Macaca mulatta: one gene and its partners. The protein of the gene in region 3 interacts with the protein of the main gene of each other region in a biochemical or structural test. Links are inferred from orthologs where the notes say so. Each region holds a gene or a part of one and is shown on either strand. Other genes may lie near its edges.

The links. The genes of interacting proteins can lie anywhere in the genome.
Region 1: the proteins of LRRK1 (region 3) and POLR2M form a complex in vitro, tested with the Homo sapiens proteins (2 studies listed by BioGRID and IntAct, with this or other methods). The link is inferred for Macaca mulatta from reciprocal best matches to the Homo sapiens genes LRRK1 and POLR2M.
Region 2: the proteins of LRRK1 (region 3) and PDCD4 form a complex in vitro, tested with the Homo sapiens proteins (2 studies listed by BioGRID and IntAct, with this or other methods). The link is inferred for Macaca mulatta from reciprocal best matches to the Homo sapiens genes LRRK1 and PDCD4.
Region 4: the proteins of LRRK1 (region 3) and CDC42EP3 form a complex in vitro, tested with the Homo sapiens proteins (2 studies listed by BioGRID and IntAct, with this or other methods). The link is inferred for Macaca mulatta from reciprocal best matches to the Homo sapiens genes LRRK1 and CDC42EP3.

What each region holds. Positions count from the first base shown.
Region 1 is NC_133412.1:35,013,345-35,018,373, forward strand, and holds part of POLR2M (protein GRINL1A), read left to right. Parts: coding exon 1-442; intron 443-3,050; coding exon 3,051-3,255; intron 3,256-5,029.
Region 2 is NC_133414.1:123,074,230-123,079,632, reverse strand, and holds part of PDCD4 (programmed cell death protein 4), read right to left. Parts: intron 2,186-5,403; coding exon 2,078-2,185; intron 1,867-2,077; coding exon 1,756-1,866; intron 326-1,755; coding exon 186-325; intron 1-185. UniProt on the Homo sapiens protein: Inhibits translation initiation and cap-dependent translation. May excert its function by hindering the interaction between EIF4A1 and EIF4G. Inhibits the helicase activity of EIF4A. Modulates the activation of JUN kinase.
Region 3 is NC_133412.1:91,432,375-91,437,777, reverse strand, and holds part of LRRK1 (leucine-rich repeat serine/threonine-protein kinase 1), read right to left. Parts: intron 5,136-5,403; coding exon 5,019-5,135; intron 2,417-5,018; coding exon 1,563-2,416; intron 1,125-1,562; coding exon 1,023-1,124; intron 1-1,022.
Region 4 is NC_133418.1:87,288,843-87,292,968, forward strand, and holds part of CDC42EP3 (cdc42 effector protein 3), read left to right. Parts: intron 1-1,908; 5' UTR 1,909-2,143; coding exon 2,144-2,908; 3' UTR 2,909-4,126.

The DNA.
Region 1 (5,029 bases), about 56 Mb from region 3:
ATACTTCATCACTAGTTCCTGGGTGTTCCTCTGTAGATAATATCAAGTCATCTAAAACAACCTCACAAAACCAGGGACTTGGACATCCTACTCATGAAGGTGATGGAGAGACTCCAGAGGTTGAATACACAGTGATTAAGGGCCCAGCTTCCAGCAACAGAGACAGGGTACCGTCTTCATCTGAAGCTAGTGAGCATCACCCGCAGCGTCGTGTTTCAAGTCAAGCAGAAGATACTTCCAGCAGCTTTGACAACCTGTTTATTGACAGGTTACAGAGGATCACCATTGCAGACCAAGGTGAACAACAGTCAGAAGAAAACGCAAGTACTAAGAACTTGACAGACCTTTCTAGTGGGACTCAGAAGAAGCCTCATTACATGGAAGTGCTAGAAATGCGAGCCAAAAATCCAGTGCCCCAGCTGCATAAATTTAAAACCAATGTGTAAGTACCATCGGAAACAGGCCTATAACAGGAACATGATATTTGTTAAACTCAAAAAGTTAAGAGAAACTGGGTGTCGTGGTGCTTGCCTGTAGTCCTAGGCTACTCAGGAGGCTGAGGTGGGAAGACAGCTTGAGTCCAGGAGTTGTAGACCAGCTTGGGCAACTTATAATAAGACCTTTTCTCATAAATAAGGAGAATGCTCTAAGTTCCATGGGCTTTGTATGAGAATTACTTGTATTTAGGAAAGAACATATTGTGGAAACACTGAGACCAGCCTGGCTGGAGTGGAAGGTTCATGCTGAAAAATATTTAGTTTTGAAACTAAGTAATTGACAGGGTCTTAAATAGCACTTGGGGGAATATTAAATTTCAGGACGCTTAGCCAATATTTCATAATAAACACAGAGTTGGAGAGAATTTATTATGATGTCTTTTTTTCAGAACTATTTTTTAGTGTACAGCTCTAATTAGTGTACTATCAAAGTGTACTCTCTTTGATTAGTCTGTGAACTAAGGATAAAGCAATTGCAGGAGCTGATCGGCTTTCCAGCAAAAATTATTTGTATGCTCACTGAATGTAAGCAAGCAGCAGGTGTTGTGGGGACACAGTGAAGTCAAGATTCTTAAACTTCTTTGCCTTTTTGATGTTATACCTCAAGTTTAAAAACATGGCTGTAATGTATACATGTATAATGTAATACAACACCATGTTCTTCAAGGAGTTTCAGAGCTAGATGAGGACACAAGGTTTACACCCTTGGAAAAGAGTTAAGCTACATAATAACAGTTTCAGGGGGAAGGAAGCTGAGGAGAGTTTGAAAAACTGAAAATAGATTCAGGCAGGATAGGCAGAAACTCTCCTTATCAGTTCCTTGCCATAAATTTGTTTCTGAAATTTCAGGAAAAGTAAAGTCTTTTTGAAAATAATTGCTATTTACTTGCAGCAAATGTAACATTCAACTCAAAAGGTACCTTCCTATACTGTATTTACAAGTATGTAACATCAAATACAAAGTTAAATTACTACTACCTTTCTTTGAAAAACAGAAAATCTCTAGTGAAAAGTGCCTAACACATGCTTCTTTTTTGTTAGACTTTAACTCTACCCCAGCATTCATTTTAACCGCAAAACATTTTATTTCTGCCGTATAGAAAATCAGGATTATACTGCATTAATGTGATCAAGTCATCTCTTGTGTACAGTGAGGTGTCTTTCTTCACTTCCAGGATGACATTTTAGGAAACTAGAACCATCATCTAGTCAATAAATACAACAAAGAATACATTAATCCCAGTTCTGTATTACGGTCATTTAGCTGGGAGTGGGAGAGAGGTAAGGGAATAGTGATGAGGGCTACCAAGAATTCAGGAAGTTGAAGAGACAGGGAGCCTTCTGTATAGTTAGAGGAGAACAGGAAAGACAGGGCTTTGAGGAGTCCTTATGCCATAGACAAGGATTTAGAGGGTTCCATGTGAGAAGTGGCTTGGAGGTTGGAAGGTGGGGTCATTTAGTGTCCTTGGGTCCTTTCTGCTCTTCCTTCTGCATACTCTTCTGGTTTCATGTATCACCTGGATGCTGGAGGCTGACCCCTGTCCACCTCTATCCCAGATCTTCCCAGAACTTTAGGTTTGCATAGCCAATTAACCATGAAACTTGACCACTTGGGTGTTCCTAGGCACCTCAGCTTAATCATGTACAAAGTGGAACTTCTGTTTCTTTCCAAGGTAATTTCCATATTTCCTAATAGGACCACTACGTTCTTTGTTTTCTTCCCCTAAGGTATCTTCCATTTTTCTCATCTCCGTATCTGCTAGCCATGAAGACCTACTTATTTCTTTGATCTTCATCTCTATAATTGTTCTTCATCTTCTGTCGAAGTGAAGACTCTCATCTCTCTCGGGCTATAATTGTGGCCTCTTCTACCTCTAGTCTTATTAACTACCAGTCAGTCTCCACTGCTGCCAGAGTGAAATTTGTAAGATGGAAATCTGAATTTGTTACGGAGAACTCTTCATTGCAGTCTGGGCCCAGCCTACTTCCCAGCCTTCTTTCTGGCTGTCTTTTCTGTGTAGCCAGAAAAGCTGAGTCTCTCTACCTTCTGTACTTTCTCTCACTCCCCTTGCTGGGATGCACTTCTCTCCTTATTTAAATGGTAAGCAGTTATTCCAAGACTCTTCAAAGCTTTTTAGAAGCTTTTCTTACAGCCTCCCTGTCTCCCACTAGAACTGGCCATTTCCTAATGTTCCAGTGTATCTTGTTGAGATATCTGCCATAGTACCTCTGGTATTATATTGCACTGAAACTTTACATGTTTCTTTCTTTCTACTGGGCAATAAGCCCTTTTGCAAATGTTCTTTGAATGATACATGAAAAAAAAAAAAAGCTCCAGATGAAATATAAGGTTTGAATAAGGAAGGAAAAGGCAAGAGCCTGTGTGCACACAAACACACCCCTGTTTGTTAGAGCAATAAATACTGGTAAACTGCTTACTATTACCTTTGGAGGAGAGTTAATTGCTGAGGTAAAGCTCATTTGTGTGAATGTTTTAAATGTGTCTACAAATAAAATAGTCTGATTATATAGCACAAGTTTTCTTTTCATCAGGTTACCTTTTCGACAAAATGATTCGTCTAGTCATTGTCAGAAGAGCGGGTCTCCTATTTCCTCAGAAGAGCGGCGGTGCAGGGATAAGCAGCATCTTGATGACATCACAGCAGCTCGGCTTCTACCGCTTCACCATATGCCTACGCAGCTGCTCTCCATAGAAGAATCTTTGGCACTTCAGAAACAACAGAAACAGAATTATGAGGTATTTAGAGTATTATTTTTTTTCTTGTCTGTTTGTTTGGTGCCTCTTACATAAGCCAGAATTTACTCCAGGTTCAAGGAGGAAGGAATGGAATAGAGGGGATTAGGTGCTTCCATGAGCTCAGACCTATGCCACTAGTTTTCAGAGACCTATGCCATTAGTTTTCAGAGTCATAAAGTTGCTAGAACTGCAGGAAATGGCTAGAGATGATCACAGCTACCTTCAACATGAAAGTGGTGATTTGCCAGGAAATGTGGGGAGACTATTGTAGAATTTCGTGTCTTGAAGCTCATGTACCTGCCTGTTCCTGTTAGGATAGTAGTAGCATCGCATCTCTCCCTTTCACCTTGTAAAACCCATGTGACAGCTTCTGAGTGGTGGACTGTAACCCAGACCCCTTGTTAGAGAATGAGGAAAATGTAGTTCCCAGGCTTCCATCTCCTGCAGTACAGGGGAGGGCATAGAAGGAGTGGGAGGATAATGTTGTATAGCCAGCAGACAGTGAGACACTGTTTCAGAGCATAATCCGCAGGCCTATGTGAAGAGAAAAAATCTGCTTTTGGCAACTTAATCAATTTTGCATAGCACTTTGTTTCCATGTGTTTTGCATTGAACTTTAAACTTATATGTTGAGAGTTTGTATACAGAGTAATGGGATGGGAGAAAATAAGTGTGAAGCACCACAGGGGAATAGAAAAGTTTAGAAGTATTTAGTAACAATTTTAGCCTCCAGGAGAACAGTATCCTGTCTCACTTCCTAGGTGTTGCTTAGCTAGATTTTAGTCAGGTACTAGTGTACCAGCCAGTATCACACCAGGCTGTTCAGGAGTTCGAGACCAGCCTGGGAAACATAGCTAGACTCCATCTTTACCAAAAAATTAGCCGGGCATTGTGGCATGCAGCTGTGGTCCCAGCTACCCGTGAGACTGAGGTGGGAGGATTGCTTGAGCCCAGGAGGTCGAGGCTGCAGTGAGCTGCAATCGCACCACTGCACTTTGTATAGTCTGGGTGACAGAGTGAGACCCTGTCTCAAAAAAAACCCAGCAAAACAGGCTGTTAATCTGCCTTGGCTTTTCATAAAAGCCTTGGCATGGATTGGCATTTTCAAGGTGCTCTTTTTCAAAAAACCCATATTTCTTTCTCTCAGTGCATTAAAATTACTGCCTAGTTATGACCGTAGCATTGAGGAAGTGTTTATTGTCTCTGGGCTCTTAAATGCCCATCCTAAGATATTTTTAGGTTGAATTAAACCCTTTATCTTTAAATTGGTTTTCTTGGCAGAGGTAATAGCTCCCACTTTTACTTACCCATATTCATGGCTTGAAGAGGAAGACATCAAGAAACTCAAGAAAGCATGAGAAAAGGGAAGAACAGAATTAGGAATGACATTGCCACCTACCATGAGTTGGTGGTGAAGTCCTTAGCAGTTTTTAAGTACTTTGCCAGTGTCTGAAATTTACTTGGACTTTTTATTAGATACTAGTTGCTGTAGGACTTTATTTGGAGAGGAATAGTCAGCTTTTTAGTATTAATTTCTTAATTTTCATTTTGCCATTGAAATGTAATTCCCAAGTCCAGAAGTCATGATTTTTATTAGGGAAGAAGGTTCTGTCAGTTGTAGAAATCTAGACAATATTAATCATTTTTGACATTTGATAGGTCACATTGTTATGTGAGCGTGTATACATGTACATGTGCCCACATATTTAATGCATCTGCATTTATAACTGTTGTTGTGCTAAGCTGATTACTCAGTTTCTTATATAGAGGAATG
Region 2 (5,403 bases), on a different chromosome or scaffold from region 3:
TCATGAGGCAGTCCTGTACAGATTTACAAGGGGGCTAAAACAAGCTTCGCCCTTCTTTCTCCATGAACTCACAAGAGTCATGTTCTTCAGTGACTTCAGGGAATGATAAACTAACTTAGCACTTAACTTTCCCAAAGACCTCATCCACTATTTTATATTGAGAAAGTAGTATTTAAATAAAGTACCTTGAAGGACAAAGATCTCTGAGTTGTTTGGAAATTATTCCAGACTGAAAACATTCTTCTACAAACCGCTCCAGCACAGAGTACGAATGTGGGACATCCAGATTAATGTCTGGAATTTCGTTGTAAATTCTCTCATAACCCTACAACAATGAAATTACACACAGAATTGTTAGCCAATATAAAATATATGTCATAAAACACAATCGATCCATCACTATGTCATCAATCTATATTTAAGACCAAATGTTCAAGTGGTTAAACTGAAGTCTGATTTGAATAGTGAGAAGCACAGAAAGTAGATTTGTTACAGTGTTTTACAACTGCTCTCTTTTATTAGAGTCAGGAAATAACAGACACTGGCAAGGTTGAGGAGAAAAGGGAAGGTTTATATGCTGTTGGTGGGAATGCAAATTAGTTCAGCCCCCGTAGAAAGTGGTTCGGAGATTTCTCAAAGAACTCAAAATAGAATTACCATTCAACCCAACAATCCCATTACTGGGTGTATGTCCAAAGGAAAATAAATCATTCTACCAAAATGACACCTGCATTTGTATATTTATCGGGTACTATTCACAATAGCAAAGACATGGAATCAACCCAAGTGCCCATCAATGGTGGATTAGACAAAGAAAATGTGGTACATATACGTCCATGGAATGCTACATAGCCATAAAAAAGAACAAAATCATGTCCTCTGCAGCAACGTAGATGCAGCTGGAGGCCATTATCCTAAGAAAATTATCACAAACATAAAACCAAATAATGCATGTTCTCACTTGTAAGTGGGAGCTAAACATTGGGTACACACAGACATGAAGATAGGAACAATAAACACTGGGAATTTCAAAAGTAGGGAGGTGGGAAAGAGGACAAGAGTTGAAAAACTACCTATCAGGTACTGTATTTACCTTAGGGACAAGATCATTAATTAGAAGCCCAAACCTCAGCATCACTCAATATACCCATCTAACAAACCTGTACATGTACCCCTCTGATATCTAAAATTTAAAATGTAAATTTAAAAAATAAGTAAAATTGGTTACATAGCTAAAAAAATTTTTTTAAATACTGTTCTCTTAAAAGAGCTGTAGGCAGACACCAGACATTGGGCAAACTCCTTTCCCATCTACTTCTCTATATACACTTAGTATGTTCTTTTAAAAAATACAGGCCAAACACAAACCTCACAAACATTTAAAACAAGAATCATAAAATTTTAAATAGGAAAAAAGTACTTTATAATTTGTTAAAAGTTAAAGGTTCATGTTTCTCGCTAGATATAAAATAGAAATTGTCACATCTTAGAAACCGAACCCTTGAGGTAGAATACATAATCACATTTGTCAAAGTAGGTTAAAAAAAAAACAAAAAACCCACTGCAGTGTTACTTTCCAAGAAATGGTTGCAAAAGGTTCAAACCTCAAACATTACCATTAAGAAAAAATAAAACATATAGGCATAATAACACTAAACATACCTAAAGAAAAGTCACTGACAATTCATAATCTGTATTCAATCATATATTTAAGGCATAATCCTAAAAGTTGTTCAAAAATAATGGTATACTTACTCTTTTCATTTGGTCTACAGTAATGGTAGAAGACTTCCAAAGGGACTTTAATAAATCCAAAATCATCTTAAATGTACTTTCTCCAGTTGACTCTAAAACCATTATAACAGCCTAAAAATTGAATCAATGAGTGAATTTTTGGTTAATTTATATATGAAACCGCTCCTAAATGTATCAGATGCCTTTTGTAATAGTGAAAATTTAAAAACCACTTCCTCCTTTGATATTAAAAAAAGGATGTACATTATTTAAAAAGCATAAGTCACTATGCTACAAAAAGGAACACTTAATAATTCTCTTTGACATGGCAAGGTAATCTTACTTCATATACAAGCTCATGGTGAAAATGAGGTACTTCCAGTTCCTTAAGGCAATGTTCAGCTTCAGATATGTCTCCAGAGAGTAAATATTCTTTCAGCAGCATATCAATCTATTAGATTTAAAAGTTGAGATGTGTTAGAATTCCTAACTTTTAAAATATCGTGCTTGCCTACAGGATTATTTGCCCTCATTCCAATATAATGAAATAATGGGTAACAGCTAGTAACATATAGACTGGACATGGTACTATTATCACAGAATTTTTCATAATTAAAAAATAAATCCCCAATTTTTAAATGGTTCATAATTATGACTCAAATGCAATGCTTCAGTGTGTCTGAATCACTGAGATCTATGAGTAGGTTTATAATGGACGTGTCCTGGGTTGTGACCATAATGCTTTAGTGTGCCACTAAAAATAAGGGATTTTAAATACCACTAGAGGGCACTAACAAAGTTTCAACATAAAGTGGCATAAATATTTCACTTCTATCAAGATGCTCTTAATAGTGCACTGAGAGCCAAAAAATGAGAGATGATAATGGGGTATTACTAGACAGGGCAAAGATTTCCACACAGTTTCTCTTTTCTCTACAACTGAGAATTTGAAACTCATTATCTAAAATGTTCAATAATTCAGTTTCCAGCTGTAAAGAAACAAGTATTGATTTTCCTGCTCAAACTTGAACATCTCAAAAAAGTGGGAGAACTTTTTCAGCACAAGAGCTTCAGCTAGGAATATTTTTGCCTATATGTTCTTTGTTAAAATCCTCTTTGTATTTGGTGGGCACGTATCTAGTTGTCTGAATGTTGAATGCTGGCTGACTGAATTTTAAAAAATCGTATTTAAGTATCCTTCCAACTTTTATAATGTATTTTCATAAAAGGTAAAGTAAAATTTAATTGCTGTCATGCTTTAGGATGTAATATTTACATGTAAGTAAATATGTATTTAAATATTTACATGTAAGTAAATATTTAAAGCACAGCATTTGAATATATTTACTTTATAATTACAAAGTAATACATAATCATGCATCGTTTAATAGGGATACATTCTGAAAAGTGTGTTACATGACTGTCATGGTGCAAACATCATACAGTATACTCACAGAAACCTAGATGGTATAGCCTACTACACACCAGTGCTATAAGATATAGCCTATTGCTCCTAGGCTACAAATCTGTACAGCAGGTCAGTATATTGAATGATATAGGCAATTGGAACACAATGGTATTTGTGTATCTAAACATAGAAAAGGTACAGTAAAAATACAGTATAAATGATTTTTTAAATGATACACCTGTATAGAGCACTCAATATGAATAGAGCTTTCAGGATGGAAGTTACTCTGGGTGATTCAATGAGTGAGTGGTTAGTGAATGTAAAGGCCTAAGACATTACCCATACACTGCTATGCACTTTATAAACACTGTATACTTAGGCTACACTAAATTTATGAAAAAACAAAGTAACTGTGCTACAACATTACAACTGTCTCAATATCACTGGAGGATAGGAATTTTTCAGCTCCATTAGAACCTTGTGGGACCACCACCATCCCATGCAGTTCATCACTGACCAAAACATCATTATGTGGCACATGACTGTACTTGTTATTCAAATCATATTACTTATTTTTAACATTTGTTACATAACTTTAAAAGTATTAAAAATATACCCCATCAAATTCCATGCACTTCTGAGAATAAATTACAAATACATTTATACATTTCTAAAAGTCTTCTTTGATCCAACCCTTCCATGTAAGCAAATATCCATATAATGTCAACCTCAAACTCATATACTGGTAGTTTTATTTCCTTTTTTATCTTGTCAATTTTCTTTCTTGAGAGAGAATTCATACACCATAAAACATCTTGTCCAGTTTCCAAAAATATTAATTTTGGAGAGTATTACCATCTTAACAATATTAAATATCCTAATCCATAACCATGGGATATCATTCTATTTATTTAGGTCTTCTTTAATTTCTTTCAACAAGTTTTACAGTTTTCAGTGTACAAGACTTGCATTTCTCTTGTTAAATTTATTCCTAAGTATTTTATTTTTGATGCTATCATAAATGCAATAATTTCATTTCAGATCATTCATTCCTACTGTATATAGAATTGAATTTTGTGTACTAATCTTGTATCTTGCAACCTTTCTGAACTCATTTTTTAGTTAATAGTTTGGTTTCAGTCTTGGGGAGTTAAAAAAATGTGGATTCATTCAAATTTTCTGAATACAGATCATGTTACCTGGGAATACAACTAGTTTTATCTCCTCCTTTCCAATCTGGATGCCTTTTATCTTTCCTGCCTAACTGCCCTGGCATCTTTACTATTTTTATACCTCAATTTTTCTAATTATTATTTAATTTTTAAAAACAGATACTAAATCACAACATTACAAACACTGACTCATCTCTTTTAACATATATAAAAGCAAAAATGGTCAAGGGCTCTAACTACATTTTGAACTCCTTAACACTTAAGCTAGATACACATACACACACACACCCCTCATTAAAAGATTTACTAAAAATCAAAATTACAGTTACATGAAAAGATTATACTCAAAAATCAGAAGCACATGAACTACAAATCTTCTAGTTGCATGCCTTTTCTTAAAGAGATCTGCAGATAAGGAGTTTTTTTTTGTTTTTTGGTTTCTTGTTACAGAATACCACAATACAGCCAGAAAAAAAAAAATCCACAGGAAATAAATCTGGCATTTTAATGCAATAAATCGCTTTTTTTTTTTTTTCTGAGACACAATCTTGTTCTGTCACCCATGCTGGAGTACAGTGGCGTGATCTTGGCTCACTGCAACCTCCGCCTCCTGGGTTCAAGCAATACTGGTGCCTCGGCCTCCTGAGTAGCTGGGATTACAGGTGCGCACCACCATGCCTGACTAATTATTATGTACTTTTAGTAGAAATGGGGTTTCACCATGTTGACAAGGCTAGTCTCGAACTCCTGGCCTCAAGCAATCCACCTGCCTCAGCCTCTCAAAGTACTGGGATTACTATCAATTTTCTTTTAAAACACGCATATGGGTAGTGAATGTCCTCACAAAAATCTAACACTCTGATCTACTCTAGTGCTCATAATTCCTAACTCATTATTTAAGACTATCTAGTTTTAATTTACTTATATAAAAGCATATTTATTGAATAGCTAAAAGACAGAAAATCTCATTTCAACAGCATTTGAAAATTATTAAATAATAATATGAGAGAAAGATTTCAGGCATTCCTTTGAAGTTCATAGATGGCTTGCTTATAATTATTCATGAAAGCCCTTTTAACAGACTCATTT
Region 3 (5,403 bases):
GGGAACTCCGTCAGTTCAAGGCTTCCAGCCACAGACTCTGGCAGAGCTCGGGAGCAGATCCAGATCTTGCTTCCAGAACCACTAACAGAGCAAGGCTCACTGGCCCGGGATTCACTGCCAAAGTTCAAAGCTGGCAGGCAAGGGAGTGAGACTGCCATGGATGCCTCCTTGGTCATTGTCCTGCTCTGGGAGAAACAAGCTGAGTGGGGTTTCTCCACCCTCTTATGAAATAAAAACCCACTTGCCCAGGGATGGGGGATAACTCACGCTACAGGAAAACAGGCCTAGTGTGAAGTGGAAGAGCTCCAAAGTACACACACACACACACACACACACACACACACACACACACAATTTGAATTGAGGACTTTTCATAAGGGAGATTTACCATGTGGGGCTCGGTAGTCAAAGTGAGGGGTGTAAACACTGTGGGGAGCTGCAGCTGGTACCAGCCTCATATCACTCCAGCCATGTAGACCATGTTCGGGATAGGCCACCCTGCCCAGCATACCCTCGCAGAGGAGACTGGCATAATCCTGGGGGGACTCACCCACAGACAGTTACTGAACCATGCCTCAGCCCAGGAAGGGCAGGAGCTGAGACCCCAGGCTTGGAGATGACAAGGTGTGCCTATGTCATGTGTCCCCATAGGGTGCTGTGTGGGCAGGTGGACACCTCGGGTAGGGTTTCCTGCTTGGCAGGAAGAACAGTGAATCAATCACCTGGATGCATCTGCATGTCAACTGCAGCTGAATTCTGGCCCTGGAGGCATTCGTTAGGTAGGGTACTTGATCTACAGGTGCACTGGGTACTCCAGAAACAGGGAGCCATGGCCAGTGTGGAGCCCCTTGGAGCTGTCTGCGGGGCCCCATCTTGTTTCCACTTTGCCTTATAGCCAAGTTGGTGGATACACTATTTGGGAGAATGGAGGGGCAGCAAAGCCACTGTGCAAGACCTGGCTATGGGGCCTTCTGTGCTCATGCTGCTGCCTGGGTCCTAAAGGAGCTGCCACTCAGTCTTACCCATGTGGAGTCAGCTCTCGGGCTTTTAAGACGGCGATGACTCGGCCCCGCTGGGCGCCAGAATCCTTCTCCAGGCCAATGACGATAACATCTCCACCGCGCCTAAGCAACCAAAACCCAGAAGGGGAAGCGTTTTTGTCGGTAGCCGTGCTCTCAGGGGAATGAAGCCGGTGTGCAGAAGGGTGCGGGAGGGAGGCAACGGACATGCAGTTTCTGCTAAGGGATTAAGTTATGGGGAGGGGACAGACCCCAAAGCAGAGGAGAAGTTTCCCAGTGGAAGCTGAATCACAGTTGATTGTGGCTTTCCTTGTGTGGCACCTTAAGCTCTCTGGCAGGCAATAAGCTTCGGTGCAACCACTCTTAGACTTGCTAAATATATCACTCCCATTCCCAACGGAGGGAACCAACCTTCTTGGAAGCACAGCACCTGCTGGGTCCCCACATGACCATTAAGGAAGCCAGCGGGTCTCCCTGGCTCCCAGGGGGTCTCCTTGCTCTGTGGGCATGCCCTCGATGGTGCCCTCACCTCGGGAGACTTACCTGGGGACCCAAATGAGGTCTCTGACGGCGAGGATCTTCACGGCCTGCAGGTGCTGGCTGAAGGTCTCCCCGTCCATGGGGGTCAGGTCATGCTCAGACCTGTCAGAGGCAGCACCGGGCTCGTGTAGCCTGTCTGAGTCCTCGCAGTCGGGGGAGAAAGGCACGCTGGAAGAACTTGCCGGGGAGCTGGGGAGGCTGGAGGGGGACCTGGCAGCCTGGCGGGGTGGGGATGAGGAGTAGGAGGACATGGAGCAGTAGTCGGTGAGTGACTCCTGGTGGATCAGGATCTGTGTGCCCAGCTCCTCACTGTACATGATGCTCACGTCCGCGATGGAGTCCCCCTCGGGCACCTTTGGGTTGGCAGTGTGGCTGGCTGCCAGGGGTTCCATGTCCAAGGGCCGCACGGGAAACATGTCCCTGAGGGGGCTGGGGTCCCCACAGAAGTACCGGGCACACAGCTGGTAGGTGGTGGAGTGGTACATCACCAAGGAGTTGGCCTTGTCATCCAGGCACCAGACGACCTCCTCCCCTCTGCCCTCAGAACTGCACACGACCGACGTAACCACGGAGGGGGCCGCGTAGGGCTCCAGCCGCCTGCAGATCTCCAGGGAGGCACAGTCAATGACAAGGAGGCCCGGCCCATTGCTGTACCAGACCTCAGAGCCACTGTTGACCACCTCCATGGCCTTCACTGGGTAGGGGTTCTGCCGTGCGTCTTCGTCTGCGATGCTGAACTTGGACCTGTTGGCTGTGTGTGAGCACAGGTAGGAGCAGCTGTCCTTTGGGGCGCCCCGCACCACGGGAAACACAGCCACAAGCCCATCGGCAAGGCCCGCTAAGACCAGGTAGGAATTCTGCAGGAAGGAGACAGGGATGGGTCACATCCTTCCATTTCACACGTTCCACCAACACGCTTCAGGGCAGCCAAGCTCTTAGAAAGGCTGGGGCTGCTCCTAAGGAAGTGAGCTCTGACTCAGCAGAGCCATGTCTACCATCCCTGCAGCAAAGAAAGGAATATGCCAGCGAGAGGCAGGGCCTGTGGCACCAAGTGAGACCGCGTGTCACCTGGACCACATGGGCCGCCTCTGCTTGTGCCAGCTTCTTGCAGGGCGAGCAGCAGGGAGCTGCCTTCTCCTTGAGGCCACCAAGGCCTCCTTCAGAGGCAGGACCTGGTGCCCGCCCTTTTCTGGGTGTGCTTAATGTGACGGCAGTGTGGGCATGGCAAGTGTCTGTGCACTGCCCCCTGCCTGCCACCCCCTACCAGCTGGAGTGTTCCATAAGGACGGGCTCCCAGCCTACCAGCATCCCCGTGGCACTGGCCTGGCACAGGGAAGGGCTCAGTCTCCTTCATCTTGGTGGCCCTGTGACTCCACCTGGCTCCTGCTCCAGGTGGACATGTGTTTGCTGAACTAGTTCTGGAAGAAATTGCTTCCTACTCAACCCTCTCGTGGAGGCCTGTCTCAGCCTGCTAAGCCCTCATCCCAGCTTACATCTATCTGAGATGCCTGTGGTTGAGCTGACATTGACAGGGTCCTCAGGGTGCCCCCCACCCTCTCAATGAAGCATGAGCTCTTCTACACCCGCCAGAGGTCACTGGGCAGAGGCCAAAGTTGCAGGGACCATGCTGAATGCTGGGCCCACCCCAGACCACCCCAGGGCACCTCCCAGGGCAGAGCCAGGAATACAGTGCAGCTTCGCAGCCTAGACACCACGTCGGCTGTGGTGGGGGTGGGAAGAGGTCTACAGAACAAAGCTGGAGTCAGGGCAGAGCAGGGAGCTGGGCCTCATGCCAGTGAGGGGGCAGGGCAGAAAGCCTCCTTGTGGGGAGCTGGGGAGCTCAGGAGGCTGGCTGTGCAGGGAAATGGAATGGAGACCCGTAGCTCACTGTCCAGGACAACATGCTGTAAGAAAGCGTATCGAAATCCATCCCCAGGATTTTAGGGAAAGAAGGCAGCCAAGGCAAATAGGCTCCAGGTCTGTATCTGGAGTCCTGGCTCAGGCCCCGGCCAGGGCGGTGAGCACCACGTTCCGGCTGGGTGTGAACGTGCGTGCGCGTGCAAGAATGCAGGCTCTGCTCTGGCAGCCTCGGAGGGGGCAGACACCCTGCACAGGAGGCCCTGCACAGAGCACGCTTTATTCCCTCTGGTCGTGCAGGAGGTGGTGCCCTGGCTGGGGGCTCTGGCCAGTGGTGGCCTCAATAACACTTTGTGTCGTGTTCTCCTGCGCTCTGGTGCGGGCCGGGTCCCAAGCTGCCTAGCCCTGCTGTGGGGCCGTGGTCATAAATGACTCTAAGGTTTATTTCATACTTTTTTTTTTTTTTAAAGAAATGAAACTGAAGAAGGGTGAAGAGAAGAGTTCATGTATTTTGCTTCCATCCAGAAGTAATAATAATGCTCTTTTACCAAGTGCACCGGCCTAGACCTTTGGGTATGCTAGGCCTTCTCTCTGTCTCTTCTTATACCTATTTTGTAGATGGGCAAACTGGAATTGGATGATGACAGTCACCACATTTTAACAAAGCAACACCAGTAAAGGCTTCTTGTGCATTTACCGAGGGTGCCTACTGCACAGACAGGCCCCTCAGGGTGGATGAAACCAGAACTGCCTGAGCCGTGCCTGAATCCTGTGGGCGGAGGAGCCTGGAAAAGCTAGGGAGCTACCTCCCACTGAGGGGCAGCTTCTCAAAGGAGGGGCCAAGGCCTTTGGTCTTGAGAGCTGAATCGGAGGCGGTCTGGGAAGAGGTGCTAGGATGTGAAGGGCCCAGCACAAGAGTCGGGTGCTTTGTGGGGAGGGTGCTAGGGCCGGCAGGGTCCGGAGGACAGCCTCACAGAGGCTGGGGCTAATCCCAAGGTGTAGCACAGCTGGCTGGGCCCTTTATTGGGGAGAGTGCCCCTTGGGGTCTCATTTAGAAAGGCCAGGGCTAGGAAGTTAAAGAGATGAGTCTGCAGGGCCATGCTGGACAAGGAGAAACTGTGTTTGGTGTAGATGGTGAGTACTTGGTGGGAGGCAGAGATGGAGGGAAGAAGATCAGGACCTCCAGGACCTGGTGACCAAGTGGCTGTGGGGTGGCTCTGGCCTGGGCAGGTGGGAAAGAGGCTCCGGATGCCACTGCCCTCTGAAGGGGAAGGGCACACACATGACTACTCGCTGTGCCATTTGCACCAACAGTCATTCCACCTGAGTAAGGGCATTTGCATGTGAAAGGGGGTTTTCACTCGGCCCTCAGTCTGGCTGAGGACTTAGGTTTTTGCAAACCAGAAGGCACTAATGATGGACCAGATCTGATATCTTTCCTCCCACTGTCTCTAAGGCTGTGTCCTAGGCCAGGTGGTACTAGAAGGTGTGGCTCTGCAGTCCCCACCCTGACACAGCTTTGGGCTGTTCCCAGCTAGGAGACGCCTCCCAGGCATGGAAGCACATCAGACACCTGCATACCCGCCTTTGCCCTGACCTCACCTTTTTAATAACAGGCACGGCCAAGAAGCAGGTGACGACAGCTGGAGTGTCCAAGGCCCGTTGGGGTGTGTTTAAGGGACACATGCCCTTGAGGGTGTAGATGTAGATTTTCTGGTCCTGCAGAGGCAGACAGGTCCACTGTGAGACCCAGGCTGGAAAGTGTCTGGCATTTCCCGAGGCATTCCCATGAGGATGCACTCAGCCTTGGGGATCCCCTGTGGGTCTTGGAAAGCTACATGGATTGACACGTTCTGGTGGGTTGTTTATGTATTTCTGTTCTTTGTAGAAACGTTGAAAAAGACAGAATAGTCTAAAGAGGAAACAGAAAACAGCCCATAATCTATTCCCCAGAGAAAACCACCATTGGAATTTGGGGCCACAGCCT
Region 4 (4,126 bases), on a different chromosome or scaffold from region 3:
ATTAGAGCTAAAACTATGAGAGCGAGTGTCAGGACCCACGATCATGTCATTGTTGGCAGCTCCATGGTCAGCCCACTCTGCATGAGTGCAAACCTCCTGGTACTTCCTCTGCCTCCTCCCCACACCCAAAGCCAGAGTGGGGCTGGCTGTCTCCTGTGCATTGTTCTCAGGCTTCTCAGGCCTGGGTTGCTGGCCAGCATGCTGACACGCTGAGCTAGCTGCTTCCCAAACTGAGTTAGCTGTTACTGAGCCAGTGGGTGGTGGAGCACAGTTCTTGTCACCTGCCACTGGTAAATGAATTTAAAACTCTTGCTGAAAGGAAAGAAATATGGGGCAGATGCAGACAGCCTCCAGCTGCTACAGAGCAAATGTGGCTCCCTTCAAAACACCAGCTAACCCACCCAGCCCTTGGAGTATTTATCTGCAGGCTCTGCGGCCAGAGGGAGGAGCTCCTGAGGGAAGAGGTCATGGTAGACTCATCTGGGGAGTTCCTGCAGTGGGGAAGGGTTTAGCTTCTCTATGTCAGCATCAGAGGTGGAGGATCATTTTCTAAAGATAAGAGCATCTCATCGGCAAAAGAGGACATTACATCCCCAATGCCTTCTTATAGCTCATGCCCTCCTAATCTTACCATATAGTATGTGCAGGGAGGATGTGTTAGCTTTCTACACTGGTAACAAATGACCACAAACTTGAGGGCTTACAACATTTACCATCTCACAGGTTCTGTGGGTCAGGAATCTGGGTGGGGCTGAGTTCCAGCATCTCACTGAGTTGTGATTCAGTGTGAGCCAGGGTGATGGTCTCATCAGAGGCTCAACTGGGGAAAAGATCCACTTCCAAGCTCCCCAACTTTGTTGGCAGATTTCATTTCCATAGGCCCTCACACAGTATAACTGCTCACCTCCCCACAGCCAGCAAGTCTTCTCCCTTGTCAGCTCAGATGGAATCTCCTATAATGAAACCTAATCAGGGAGTGACCTGTCACCTTTGCCATATTCCCTTGGTTAGAAGCCAGTCATAGGTTCTACTTACAAAGTCATTAACACCAGGAGGCAGATCATGGGGGCTCCCCTCGAATTCTGCCTACTGCAGGGAGGATATAGCCTTATCAGTAATGTTTCAGAGGTGTTCCCAAGTGAAGGCCCAGCCTATAATAGAAAATCACAATGTTGTCTCTTTGAGGTGCAGCGGTTTTGTTCATCTCCTCCCACCTCAAAATGCCTTCAAATCCTGACATCCTCGACAGCCCAATACTTTGCCACAACCCAATTCCAACTCTAGCTGTCTTGTTTATTGGCTATATGTTATTGAGAAAAGGTAACTTTCTGGGGGAAGGGCTTATTCTGAATCTCCATTTTCTTATCTGTAAGAATGTATTCCACTAATATTTTATAGGACAGTAGCATATAAGTTATTGTCACTTATTAAATAATTCCAGTACCTTCCCTTGTAGGACTATTCATTTTATTGCATTAACTTATGTACGTATGGAACTCAATGAAATATCATTAGTCTTGCTAGTATGCACATCAAAGCAAAAGGAAAATGTATTTTAAAACAAGTCCAGTTGTATTTAAGGAGCTGAAATCACTGATCCTATGCTTACAGCGATTCTTAGAATAGAGGAAAATGACTACAACTGTAGACATGTCCAGAAGATGTGTTCATGGCTATGTCTAAAAAGTACTGGTGTCATAGATTTGGGGTTTTTAGGTCTTTCTCTTTCCTGTTTTGTTTTCTCTTTAAGATTAAGGTGAAAATTTTTATCCACTTACTGGAGGGAAACAATAAGTTCGCATTAGTTGGAACTGGCCCTGCCATTATTTACAGGCTCTTGTGAAAAGGGAGGCCCTAGGGCACCCAAATGAGTCTTTAGATTATAACCTGCTTTGGTTTCTTCTCCAGGTTTCTCCTGGTTGTGGTCAAGACTGGATGATGTAACTGGCTCTCTAGCAAGCCTCACTTGGCCATAACCTCAGGAAGGTTCTCTGACCCCATCTCATTTCAAAGCCACTTCTGAAGCCACTTGAAAAAATGATGTGACAGTTCCTATCAAAAAGGATTATTCAGAAACATATACCATCTGTGAAGAAAGTGGCCCCTTTTTCCACTTGCAAAATAGACATTCTCAAATTCCAAAATGCCGGCCAAGACCCCAATTTACCTGAAAGCAGCCAATAACAAGAAAGGAAAGAAATTTAAACTGAGGGACATTCTGTCTCCCGACATGATCAGTCCCCCGCTTGGAGACTTTCGCCACACCATCCACATCGGCAAAGAGGGCCAGCACGATGTCTTTGGAGATATTTCCTTTCTTCAAGGGAACTACGAGCTTTTACCTGGAAACCAGGAGAAAGCACACCTGGGCCAGTTCCCTGGGCATAACGAGTTCTTCCGGGCCAACAGCACCTCGGACTCTGTGTTCACAGAAACACCCTCCCCGGTGCTCAAAAATGCCATCTCCCTCCCGACCATTGGAGGGTCCCAAGCTCTCATGCTGCCCTTATTGTCACCGGTGACATTTAATTCCAAACAGGAGTCCTTTGGGCCAGCAAAGCTGCCCAGGCTTAGCTGCGAGCCTGTCATGGAGGAAAAAGCTCAGGAGAAAAGCAGTCTGTTGGAGAATGGGACAGACCACCAGGGAGACACCTCGTGGGGCTCCAGCGGTTCTGCATCTCAGTCCAGCCAGGGCAGGGACAGCCACTCCTCCAGCCTGTCCGAACAGTACCCCGACTGGCCAGCTGAGGACATGTTTGACCATCCCGCCCCATGCGAGCTCATCAAGGGAAAGACTAAGTCAGAGGAGTCCCTCTCTGACCTTACAGGTTCCCTCCTCTCCCTGCAGCTTGATCTTGGGCCCTCACTTTTGGATGAGGTGCTGAATGTCATGGATAAAAATAAGTAACAGGATGCCAACTTTTTTCCTTTGGGGTAAAAGGTACAAAAACTAAACTAACCACAGTTGAAGAGAAGGGCTTCCGGAGCTGTATTTGCAATTTTGTGATGGGTTTTCTAAAATAATATTCTTACAAAGTATTTTTTTACCTGGTATGCCCTCCTTGCAAAAACAATTTAGGAAAAAACAACACAGCAAAACCTATCTTGGCAAAAAGAGGAAGTGAGTCAGAGCCCATTTTTCAGCAGGCATTGGTGATGTTCGGCTCACACATTGTTTGCAGACACACAAGAAATCTGGCTTGGCCAGGATTGGCACTAGCTATGAAGGTCTGAGCGAGTCACACTGAGGAACTTTATGGAACTTTACAGCACTCCGACATTTTCTGAGCAAGAGGAAGTCAAAATTTATTTAACACCTAAGCCTTTTTGTAGACTCTTTTCTATACTGCTTGGGCTCACCATAGCGAATTCTCCAGTGTTAAAACTTTTCTGTTTTCACATTTGAACTTATGGGTTTTGGGGATTTTCTTGTAGTTCTTATATATCCCTCTATATCTATATTGCAAACTTTTGACTGTCAGCTACATGTTGGTAAGACACAGGCAAAGTATTACTGTAACTAAGTTATTTTTAAAGTTAAAATATATTTTTACGTGCCTTTGGCTTTTTATTGCAGAGTCTACATTTTATAGATCCTACATCAGATGTCACTTGACTTGTTTCCATTGGGATTCCACTGTAAGCTGTGTATGTGTGTGTTTGGAAAAGTATATGCATACTTAGTTTTTTTTCTTCATCTGTTATCATACCTTTAACAGCAACCAATAACGAATTGTAAAGTATAAAGGCACAGGTTACTCATGATGCTTCTGCAGAGACTGTGGGCTACCCCACATGATGTTTTTGGAAATATAGGTATTTTAGTACCGTACATACTTGCATTACATAGGTACTTCAAACAACACAATAAAGAGTAAATGATAAAGTGAACTTGCTTGTTTATAGTAATAAACAAGACCATAAAAGAATAAGTCTAGCTAGAGAAGTTGCTTCTCTGAAATGTACATGAGCCTTTAAGGTAAGAGATGCTTTCCATCTGCTCTAATTTTGATTACTTCCTTATGGTTTGAGAGGCTAGAAACTGAGCCTCTCTACTTTAGGAAAGATGAACATGTGAGGTCAGATTTTTTTTTTTTTTTTTAAAGTCAACACTGATGCCACCCTC